Xenopus tropicalis: one gene and its partners. The protein of the gene in region 2 purifies or fractionates together with the protein of the main gene of each other region. This does not show direct contact. Links are inferred from orthologs where the notes say so. Each region holds a gene or a part of one and is shown on either strand. Other genes may lie near its edges. The genes, in order: exoc6, exoc8 and ralb.

The links.
Region 1: the proteins of exoc8 (region 2) and exoc6 purify together in Homo sapiens (affinity purification with mass spectrometry; 4 studies listed by BioGRID and IntAct, counting the BioPlex papers as one, with this or other methods). This does not show direct contact. The link is inferred for Xenopus tropicalis from reciprocal best matches to the Homo sapiens genes EXOC8 and EXOC6.
Region 3: the proteins of exoc8 (region 2) and ralb purify together in Homo sapiens (affinity purification with western blotting; 6 studies listed by BioGRID and IntAct, counting the BioPlex papers as one, with this or other methods). This does not show direct contact. The link is inferred for Xenopus tropicalis from reciprocal best matches to the Homo sapiens genes EXOC8 and RALB.

Annotation. Positions count from the first base shown.
Region 1 is NC_030683.2:25,435,882-25,439,536, reverse strand, and holds part of exoc6 (exocyst complex component 6), read left to right. Parts: intron 1-852; coding exon 853-936; intron 937-1,032; coding exon 1,033-1,079; intron 1,080-1,874; coding exon 1,875-1,995; intron 1,996-3,371; coding exon 3,372-3,443; intron 3,444-3,655. UniProt on the Homo sapiens protein: Component of the exocyst complex involved in the docking of exocytic vesicles with fusion sites on the plasma membrane.
Region 2 is NC_030681.2:58,002,784-58,006,538, forward strand, and holds the start of exoc8 (exocyst complex component 8), read left to right. Parts: upstream 1-1,208; 5' UTR 1,209-1,256; intron 1,257-1,737; 5' UTR 1,738-1,929; coding exon 1,930-2,378; intron 2,379-3,755. UniProt on the Homo sapiens protein: Component of the exocyst complex involved in the docking of exocytic vesicles with fusion sites on the plasma membrane.
Region 3 is NC_030685.2:89,161,535-89,165,289, reverse strand, and holds the start of ralb (v-ral simian leukemia viral oncogene homolog B), read left to right. Parts: upstream 1-1,366; 5' UTR 1,367-1,432; intron 1,433-3,755. UniProt on the Homo sapiens protein: Multifunctional GTPase involved in a variety of cellular processes including gene expression, cell migration, cell proliferation, oncogenic transformation and membrane trafficking.

The DNA of each region.
Region 1 (3,655 bases), on a different chromosome or scaffold from region 2:
GGCAGCAGGAAGATATACCATCAAACTGGTACCAACCATTAGTGTCCATGGCACTTTAAAGGTTTTTTTCCATGCCTCCTGAAATCCAGAGCCCATCCCCCCATTAGTGCCAAACTGGCAGACACACCACTAAGATAAAAGACCATCATTCATAGTGGTGTTTTCCAGTTCTGGTCACACACAAATAGATCATAGGAATGGCACACCAGTTATAGCAGACATGTGCTCCTGAACTAGCTCCAGGGTCAAATACAGCAACTTACAACACCTAAGCAGCACTCCATTAAAATAGTCTTTATCCATGCTTAATGGCAATGTACTGAAAAAGAGCAATACTATGGGCTCTTTGCACCCTTTCTCAAGCATGTTTGTCCAATGCGTTCCTCCACACATCCACAGAGGAATAAAGGGCACATTAGATTGTGTAACAAAAGCAACAACAAAGTACAACTACAACCTGTGCAGGATTTAAATAGTTACATGACTAGTCTAAAAACATCATTGGCAATATTATATGTCTTAATTAGAGTAGACTCCTTCTAAATACATTTATATGAATGTGATTCTACCCTATTTCATGTAAGCTATAATGTTTGTCCCTTTCTCTTGACATTACCATAGCAGGAGTCAGATTTTAGCAATAGACTGCCTTCAGAATTCATTTTCAGCGGGAGTTCTGATCAGTTTAAGTAAGAATTGTGGTTTAATCAAATTATAACTAGTATCAAATTATCATTTTCTTGGCTCCTTATCAGCCTGAGAGCGATAAGCTGCAGCCTCAGATCATATTTAGGCGAATTGCTCTTTAGCATCTGGGGAACATTAACGTCTCTCTCTGTGGTTACGTTTTAGGGTGATAAAGAAGTATTTGAAAACTACTACAGAAAGCAGAGAAGAAAACAAGCGAGATTAGTCCTGCAGCCCCAGTCCACCATGGTAAACTGATTTTCTTTCAGAGAATATTGTTCTTGACTGTCCACAACTTGATATGTATTAATATATGTGTGTCTTTTTTGTGCTCTGTTTTAAAAGCATGAAACTGTTGAAGGTTACAGAAAATATTTCAGTCAGATTGCAGGGTGAGTATTTTAATGCATTGTGAATTTTCACCATGTTTTATATTGATATTCTTTTCAAGATTGAAGGCATATAGAGAGTTTCAGTTGGTGCCGTCTTGTGAAGAAGATCTGCCGTATTCACTTCCACAATATCAAGTGCAATATCTATGCAATATCTATTGATTGTTTGCTGTGGGCCTAAATCCTAGCTATATTGCCAGCTACTACTCCGGATCTTTGGGGCTCTCATTTATGGGAATCTTAGATGGGTCTTCTAGATGATGCTAGTCAGTGTTTGCAGGTCTAGAACAGGGTGGTGGTTTATTTAAAATACGTTATGGAATCCAACAGTAGGTCCCAACCCTTTAGTCTCAACCAGCCCCTAGCAAGGTCAGACACTTGGTTACATATTACAAAATGCTGGGAGTTGTACTTTGGGGACAGGTTGGGTACCATTGAGTTAGCATCAAGTGGTGAAATTTCTCATGGGTTTTGATCATCATATGGAAATCATTCTATAGAAATGAAATGCCCCAGCTGAGTAAGTGAACCACACAACATTCTTTCCCTTGTGGGTTCCCTGTTGTTGGTGCCCATCTCTGCTCTGCCCAAAGACTGCCCCTGTCAGGGCTTATTAAATGAAATGGCAACGTTTCTTAATGCCTTCCACAATAAAAGATCAGCCTTGCTTTACCCATAAAATTTCACCCAAATGTACAGATACGCCAACCATGAATATTCTTAGAATGATGTTATTGAATGTGAAATCTACTGACACATTAATTTGAATAAACAGTTTTTTCCCCTTTATTTCAGATTTTTTGTTGTGGAAGATCATATTTTACATGTAACACAAGGGCTCGTCACTGGCTCTTACACCACCGAACTATGGAATATGGCGCAGTCGAAGATCATAGCTGTCCTTCGAACGCACTCGGTAAGAAAGGCAGAATTCTGACCTGGTGGGGTTATGTAATGACTGAAAGGTACATACATGCAACTCCCAGCATCCTTCAGCAGTCAGGGCTTGTGTTCTAGTGCTACCAGGGCTTTTGTGTTCCCGGGAGGTTCAAGCTGTGAGCCACAGCTGAGGGCTATCTGCATAATCCTTCTCTGATTTACAAGTTACTGGGTCCTTACAGCATAGTGTAGTACTTTAGAATATGCATAGTTAATCTGCTGTTATTAAGGCTATCTGTCCTCATTAGCCTCAACTGGCCTTCATTAGATCAAACTGAATAGGTCAGCACTCAGACTGCCACCAGGAAATGGTTTCAGATGATTGCGCCAGATACCCTGTTCCCAAAATAAACTTTTTCTGGTTTATTCACTGAAATGGGAAGTTCCCCTTAAACGTAACTTCTGGGATGATGCAGGCAGTGATAATCGAAGAGAGATAAGACCTTTCAGGACCAGTTTATTATGGGTGAATTATTTGCTGTACAGAAATATATAAATACAAATCTGTTACAATACACTGAAAACTTACTGTGCCTTCTTTACAAAGGCCCTGAATCCAAATGCTAGAATGTTGAGGGGTGCAAAATCGAGTCTTTAAGGGCCTTATTTACAAAGTGCAGGGTAAAGTACAAAAAGTGGACTCATGTTTGTGCTTCAGAATGGAGAATGAATAGCCATACTTCCTCCATGAATACAGAGCTGCCAGTGTTTGTTAGGTGCAGAGTGCTAAGGATCCCTTATGCCCTATGTGCTCCATTCTGGACATACTGGGTTAAAATCCCACTTTACTTGCACTGCCCCCTCACTGCATGGATAGGTGAGACCTAAGAGGCCTATTGATGAAATACAGACTTATATAACTTTCATGTATACACGCAGACTCATACACAGTGACCCTGCAAAGATGCCATAGTGCGGTAGCAAACTGTAACTAATACTTTATCTTGGTCTAATGCAGTTAAAATAATGAAAGCAACATGACAATTATGTGGGTAAATGAAAGCAACTAACTGAGTATTCTCTTGAGCAGCTCACAGCTTATATGTATGCATACAGAGCCACTTTTCAGCAGAAGCTGGAGAGCTATGGGTCACATCATAAATAATAGATCCCCCCACAGGGGGTATTTTTGTCACTCCAAGTAAAACTGTGCACTTATACACAGCATGCAGTGAGAATCTCTTGGTCATAGAAAAAAGTTATCATTAAAACCTCTGTGATATTATCTGCAGACCTGGGTATCAGATCAGAGCCCAATATCTCAGCACATCTTTCCTCACCAGTCGATTTAGCACAAGGTGCAGCTTTTAAGCACAGTTTGTAATACACTTAACAAATCTCATTTCTTTGTAGTCGTATTGCACTGACCCCGATCTTGTCCTGGAGCTTAAGAACCTGATTGTTGTGTTTGCTGATACTATGCAGGTAAGTGTTATCTGGGATCTTCCAGTTCAGTCTAATTAGATTCGCCAGGCCTTGGATGCCAGATGAAAGAAGAAACATTTCATTGTGCTCAGTTCTGTCAGATATAAAATAAGTTTATTTTCTACTGTAGGAATATGCCAGGTGAACAGTTTTATATATATATATATATATATCATGGGATTCGGTCTCCTACAAACAAAAAGCAGGGATGC
Region 2 (3,755 bases):
TTTCAGAGCCAAGCTCCTTTGTCAAGCAACAAGCTCCTTGACAAAGGCTCCGAAACGTTGCATGTTCGCAAATAAATTTCAACTTGAGTAATTTCACCTTTTTTAGCAAAACTGTAATAACACATAAAAAGACCCCAAAACCCCAAGAAATGTGTCCAAACTTTGAATAACCTGCCAAATTTTGTAAAATGAGAGTGGTATTAAGGGGGTGTGGTTGGAAAAATGGGTGTCGTCAAAAAATTTTTGCTGTGCTATGTGCTGCATTTGCCTACATGTGCCTGAACCTGAGCATATCTCATTTATTCGGGTGCAGGCACAGGTAGGACGCATTTACAGTAGCGGGCATATTTTCAGCTTGCCAAGAATACGCCATGTCTGACATCAGCCTAAAAACGAAATATGCTGAAGAAACAGTATAAAAAGCTGTGTAAAATAAATGGAGAAGTTTGCTGTCTGAACATTAGATTTTACGTTAGTTTTTTACACGGCGAAGCCTGGTGATGTGTGCTGAATTTGGTTGTCATATTTTTTTACACAGTAAGAGTTTCCCCCTTTTTGGAAAAAAAATATCAGCCTTACTACATTTTTATTGTTCTTCGTTAGTAATGTTTTCATCAATGTTTCATCATTTTAATGCACAAGGCCACCGACATACCAGCCAGATGGCAACCCTGAGCCATAACTCCCAACTGTCCCGATTTTAACCGCTCAAGCAGCAGTCCCAGATTCTTACTGAAAAGTCTCTAAAAAATTTGCTAAAAAATATACAAAGTTTCTCTAAATTAAACTAAATAAGTAGGCTTTTGGCAGAGAGCCAACAAAAGTTAAGCTACACCTGCACTGAGATACAATTGTAATTAATAAGCTAAACTGGGGCAACTGAGACTTGCAGCTTAAAGAATAAGTAAACCTTTTTTTTCGATTAATAAAATTACTCTAAACAGCTTCCCAGAATTCCCTACCTTTTTCCCTTTGTTCTTTCTGACCTGGTTCCTCTCTTTCCTTGTTCAGAGTGAAGCTCCGCCCCCACTCTTGTTCAGGTCTCTTATCAAGAAAAAAAAAACCCTGCTAATGCACAGACTGGCTCCTGCTGCCTCCAGACATGTGCAGAAGGCTCTCCAATTTGACTACAGGTAGTTGATGTAATGAGAGACCCAAACAGGAAGTGGGGGCGGAGCTTCACTCTGAACAAGGAAGGAGTGGAATGGATCATCTTGTAACTGAGGAACCAGGTCAGAAAGAAAAGAGGGACAAAGGTAGGCAATTCTGGGAAGCTGTTTAGAGTAATTTTATTAATAGAAAAAAAAGTTTACTTATTCTTTAAAAGGCAATTTCACCTTTTTTAGCAAAACTGTAATAACACATAAAACGAAACCCCAAGAAATGTGTTCAAATGCTGCGCTATGTGCAGCATTTCTATATGTCCCTCTATATTTTTCTAAAAGTTGGGGGGTATGTGCTATCCGCAGTGATGAAATGGATATAGCAGCTGGAGGTGGGGAGGTGGGGTTTAAAACCTGGTAACAACTGGACAAACTGGGGGAATTGAGTTGACATCAATGCTGGTGGCAAACCTAGTACAATACACTTGTTAACTGCTTTTTTTGCAAAGCTTTTAAGTTTTCCGTTAAAAGAAATAGTCACCCATTTTAAGTTTGTATACGTAAAGACAAATGAGACAAGATGATGTAAAATAAATCTTTATCACTACTAAGATTTTGCGCTTCAAATTCACAGCGGGCTTCCGTACAATAAGGAGAGAGGCGCAAGCGCAGTCTGAACGAAGAAAGACTGTGTTTTGTTGCTCCGCCTATCCTATACGCCCGGAAGCGTACATGCAATTTGTAGCCTTCATTATCTTGCTGACAGATTGAAACATTGTTTTGTGCGTTGTTTCTGTTGAACCGGTGCTTTATTTGGGTTATAAAAATGGCAGAAGGTGGTGGTTCGGTGCAACGATTGAGGCGGCAGCTGGAGTCTAGCAGCTTTCAAGCAGAACAGTATGTGAAACTGCTGTCACAGCAATCAGACGGGGATAGAGACCTGCAAGAGCACCGACAGCGCATTCAGAGCCTGGCAGATGAGACCGCTCAGAGTCTTAAACGTAATGTGTATCAGAACTACCGTCAGTTCATTGAAACTGCCAAAGAGATAAGTTATTTGGAAGGGGAGATGTACCAACTCAGCCACATTCTAACTGAGCAAAAAAGTATTATGGAGAGCGTCACCCAGGCCTTGCTTTATACAGACCGCTCTGAAGCCGCCCGGGAACTCCAGGCAGCGTTTCCTAAGGAAGCAGAAGAGGGAAAGGTCAGGAACCTTACAACTCTGCTGGAAAAGGTGGAGGGATGCAAAAACCTGCTGGAAACACCCGGGAGGTAAATATAAAGAGATTTACAATGTGTTATTGTAACTGTGGCGTCGCACTGTATAGCAGTAGTTGCTACAAGGGATGCCGCATGTAATTTGTATTAATGCAATGAAATGATGTGCTTGTTATACGAATATATTTTAATTTGACGTTTCAATGGAGTTTTTTTTATCTGAAGGCATAATAATGGCACATACTACGTGCTATTATTCAGGTTGTGGGGCACTAGTGTGACTTGTAATACTCTTATTATCATTGATTTAGCTTTGATTGTTAATCATTTGTATCTTGGTTGGTGGTTGAATAAATCACGTAAGCTCTTATCACTAACCATTTGTAACTGTTAATTGATTTTGTTGAAAAGTTTTGTCTGTATATGTAAGGGCTCTGGCACACGGGGAGATTAGTCGCCCGCAACAAATCTCATTTGTCACGGGCGACTAATCTCCCCGAGTTGCCATGACCCGCCATCTCACCGGCGAACATGTAAGTCGCCGGCGGGATGGCACACGCGGCGGCGCGATTTCCCGAAAACGTCTCGCGAGTCTTTTTCGGCGATTTCGGGAAATCGCGCCACCGCGTGTGCCATCCCGCCGGCGACTTACATGTTCGCCGGTGGGATGGCGGGTCATGGCAACTCGGGGAGATTAGTCGCCCGCGAACATGGAGTTTTGTCGCGGGCGACTAATTTCCCTGTGTGCCAGAGCCCTAAGCCATTTGGTCTTGTATTTGTATCTCTTAGAGATTATTATCACATATTTATAAATTGCCAACATATTCAGCAGAACTGTGCACTAAATGGGTAAATACATTGAATATACAGTTTTACATACAAAGCAGCCAATAACTTACACAAGATGCTGCAAAGAGCTTACTATATATGTGTATATAGTTACATAGAGTTGAAAAAAGACCATCAATGAAAAACATAGTAAGGTAACATAGTAAGTTGGGTTGAAAAAAAAAGACATACGTCCATCACGTTCAACCATAATGCCTATATATAACCTGCCTAACTTCTAGAGGAAGGCAAAAAACCCCATCTGAACCCAACCCAACATACTGTTCTTCAACTTTGGCTTCTTCTTCCGCTTCTTCTTCTTCTTTTTCTTAGCGCCCCCCATTTTCTAAACGCTACTCCTCCTACAGTTTTAGGGGTACAGCACCCAAACTCCCCACACTTCTTCGCCCTATAGCGGAGCAGGTTGCTTGTGCTTTTCTAAGCGATCCGGCCCTCCGTCTTTTTGCGGCGCTGCTCCGAACACCCCAATTTTCCCATTGACTTTGACAGGGAAGATTTTCAAACTGCTGCCACACTTACAGCTTTGAAGCTACACCCCCCAAACTTGAATAACATAATCATGGGGTCACCCCGAATGAAGCA
Region 3 (3,755 bases), on a different chromosome or scaffold from region 2:
TCCCCTTTAGTTAGAGGAATTTTTTTTCTCCACCCCCTTGTACAACACAAACGCCTGTTGATTAAGTAAGAGATCCCCATCAGCAGAGATGTAGGAAATAAAAGAAATGACCAGCCCATAGACAAAACCTCTGTATAATGAGCAGCAGCTTAGGGAAGGGGGGCTTTGTTTATACAGAGCTTATTATCTGCATTCAGAAAAATTAGGCAGTTTTTGTATGCATGTGTTTTTAAGTATAATTCCTCTCATAATGTTTCAAGAATGAATCATTATCACCCACATGAGCTCGGATCGGTTGCAATCGCTGATACCCATAACCCCCCGCTTATATCCCATGTCCAGGGTTGCCAGATTTATTTTTCCAAACTAGCCAAAGTCAGTTCTAAAACCAGCCCAAAACTAGCCAAAAGCCACTTTGTAAGTAGCCCAAAAATAGCCCAATATACGCAATGAAAAAAATTCTAAAAAAATACAAGTATATATGGGGAAACCTGCCTTATTAAAGCGTATAATCACTGCCCAGTTACTGGGATGGCTGGTAATTCCCTCTGTGCCCAGTCCAGCTGGGAAGTCACTACAGAAATGGATTCAGAATGTTCCATTAACCCCAGATATGATATATATATATATGGGTACATTGAACTACAACTCCCAGCAGCCCCTGAGATACCCTGAGAGTTATAGCTTAATGACAAACTGCAGAACTACCCCCACATCCCAGTAGAAAGTAACAGTACAATCACATACCCTATAGAGCAGGGAGCAGGGGGTAGAACTGCCCCACATCCCAGTAGAAAGTAACAGTACAATCACATTCCCTATAGAGCAGGGGGTAGAACTGCCCCACATCCCAGTAGAAAGTAACAGTACAATCACATTCCCTATAGAGCAGGGAGCAGGTTGCAGAACAGACAGGTTGAGCCTATGTCCAATTGCATGCTGGGTATTGTAGTTTTATATAAATCCTTGCTGTAGGCTAATTGTTAGATACAAACTACATTACCCAGCATGCAGTGGGACAGGCACACTAGGGAGGGAAAAACGTTAGCTAGTTTCAAAACTACAAACCCGCTAAGGCTCCAAAAAATAGCCCAAACCTGCACCTTTGGGGGGTTGTACTTTGGAAACCCGCCAGGGCATTAAATTAGTAGCCCAATTTGGCGGGAAAACCGCTAACCTGGCAACCCTACCCGTGTCCCACAACACCGGAAGCCACACACAAGTTGAGGGAAAGTAGAATACAGCGGTGCGCATGCGCCGGAGGAGGCGGGACGTTGGCGCCACACAAAGCCACGCCCATTAGCGTACCGCGCTTGGTAATTATGTCCCAGCCCGAGACCCGTAGCGGTTGCAGGAAGTTGGGGGAGGAGGAGCCGCGCCCGGGGAGCTGGGAGCAAGAGAGGGACCGGGAGCGGCGAAGGGAGACCAGGAGGTGAGTGGGGCGGGGGGGGGCGGCGTTTGTCTTGTGCTTCTACCGGCACCCCCTTATATCTTCACTCTCACTTCAGCCGGTCCATAGGCTTCTCCCCACAGCCGTGTAATGGAACTAGTCCCCTACTCCCAGCATCCTCTACTGACTTACCCAGCATCCTCTACTGACTTACCCAGCATCCTCTACTGACTTACCCAGCATCCCCTACTGACATGCCACCCTTTACCCAGCATCCCCTACTGACTTACCCAGCATCCCCAACTGACTTACCCAGCATCCCTGACTGACTACCCAGCATCCCCTACTGACTTGCCCAGCATCCCCTACTGACTTGCCCAGCATCCCCTACTATGACGTTACCCAGCATCCCCCTACGTGACTTACCCAGCATCCCCTACTGACTTACCCAGCATCCCCTACTGACTTACCCAGCATCCCCTACTGACTTACCCAGCATTCCCCTACTGACTTACCCAGCATCCCCTACTGACTTACCCAGCATCCCCTACTGACTTACCCAGCATCCCCTACTGACTTACCCAGCATCCCCTACTGACTTACCCAGCATCCTCTACTGACTTACCCAGCATCCCCTACTGACTTACCCAGCATCCCCTACTGACTTACCCAGCATCCCCTACTGACTTACCCAGCATCCCCTACTGACTTACCCAGCATCCCCTACTGACTTACCCAGCATCCCCTACTGACTTACCCAGCATCCCCTACTGACTTACCCAGCATCCCCTACTGACTTACCCAGCATCCCCTACTGACTTACCCAGCATCCCCTACTGACTTACCCAGCATCCCCTACTGACTTACCCAGCATCCCCTACTGACTTACCCAGCATCCCCTACTGACTTACCAGCATCCCCTACTGACTTACCCACCTCTCATTCCTACACCAGCATCCCCTACTGACTTACCCACCTCTCATTCCCTACACCCAGCATCCCCTACTGACTTACTTACCTCTCATTCCCTACACCCAGCATCCCCTACTGACTTACTTACCTCTCATTCCCTACACCCAGCATCCCCTACTGACTTACTTACCTCTCATTCCCTACTCCCAGCATCCCCTACTGACTTACTTACCTCTCATTCCCTACTCCCAGCATCCCCTACTGACTTACTTACCTCTCATTCCCTACTCCCAGCATCCCCCTAAAGCCCTGTCACTCATTCCCTACTCCCAGCTGACTGCCTGCATGGGAAAGGGGTGATGGGAGCTGTAGTTCAGGAGTAACTCCCAAGCTGGAGTATTGTTACTGTTATAATTACTCTCAGGCAAATCTTGATCTGTCTCTGAGACCCTGGGCCAGTCTCTGTCCCTCCCCTGCTGTTCTGATTGAGTGGAAGGGGTTAACTCGGCCCCATGTGACACACGTTGGGGTGCCATACTGCAATACAGAAACATCTCACAGAAGCAGTGTTTGCCCCATGGGGCACTTTTTATTGCTTTTTGTGCCCTTGGCCTTTAATTATGAGACCCAGTGACTCCCTTGTGATGCTGCTGCCGCCTTTCCTATAATAAGTCAGCACCATATTTATTGCCCCCAGTGTTGTTGTTGTGTGACTCCTCCCTGTGCTACAGCAATAGGGGTACATCAGACTGGGGATTCTCAGCACTTCAGTAGTTTCCCCATTTGTTACACTCTCAGGGGAGTATTTTAATGAACGGACTCTTTTTATCAGTGCAAATACTTGTGTATGTACAGGGTGTTAAATCAACCTTAGGGGGCTGTTCCTGCTGAATTGTGCTTAGAACAGGGGAATCCCTATGTGCCATAGTTTTATAGTATCTCTCTGTACAGGCTATGGGCAAACTTAGGGGGCTGTTCCTGCTGAATTGTGCTTAGTACAGGGGAATCCCTATGTGCCATAGTTTTATGGTATCTCTCTGTACAGGCTATGGGCAAACTTAGGGGGCTGTTCCTGCTGAATTGTGCTTAGAACAGGGGAATCCCTATGTGCCATAGTTTTATGGTATCTCTCTGTACAGGCTATGGGCAAACTTAGGGGGCTGTTCCTGCTGAATTGTGCTTAGTACAGGGGAATCCCTATGTGCCATAGTTTTATGGTATCTCTCTGTACAGGCTATGAGCAAACTTAGGGGGCTGTTCCTGCTGAATTGTACTTAGTACAGGGGAATCCCTATGCTGCCATACTAAGCTGGTATAGTTACCAGTTCCCAAGCATTCTGAATAGCAGATGTAGACACAAGAATGGACAGTGGTTGCCAGATGCAGTGGCCTTAGCAACCAGTGTACAGAGCACAATGAAGGCCATGTGGAAGTGAGTGACATTACTGTGCCG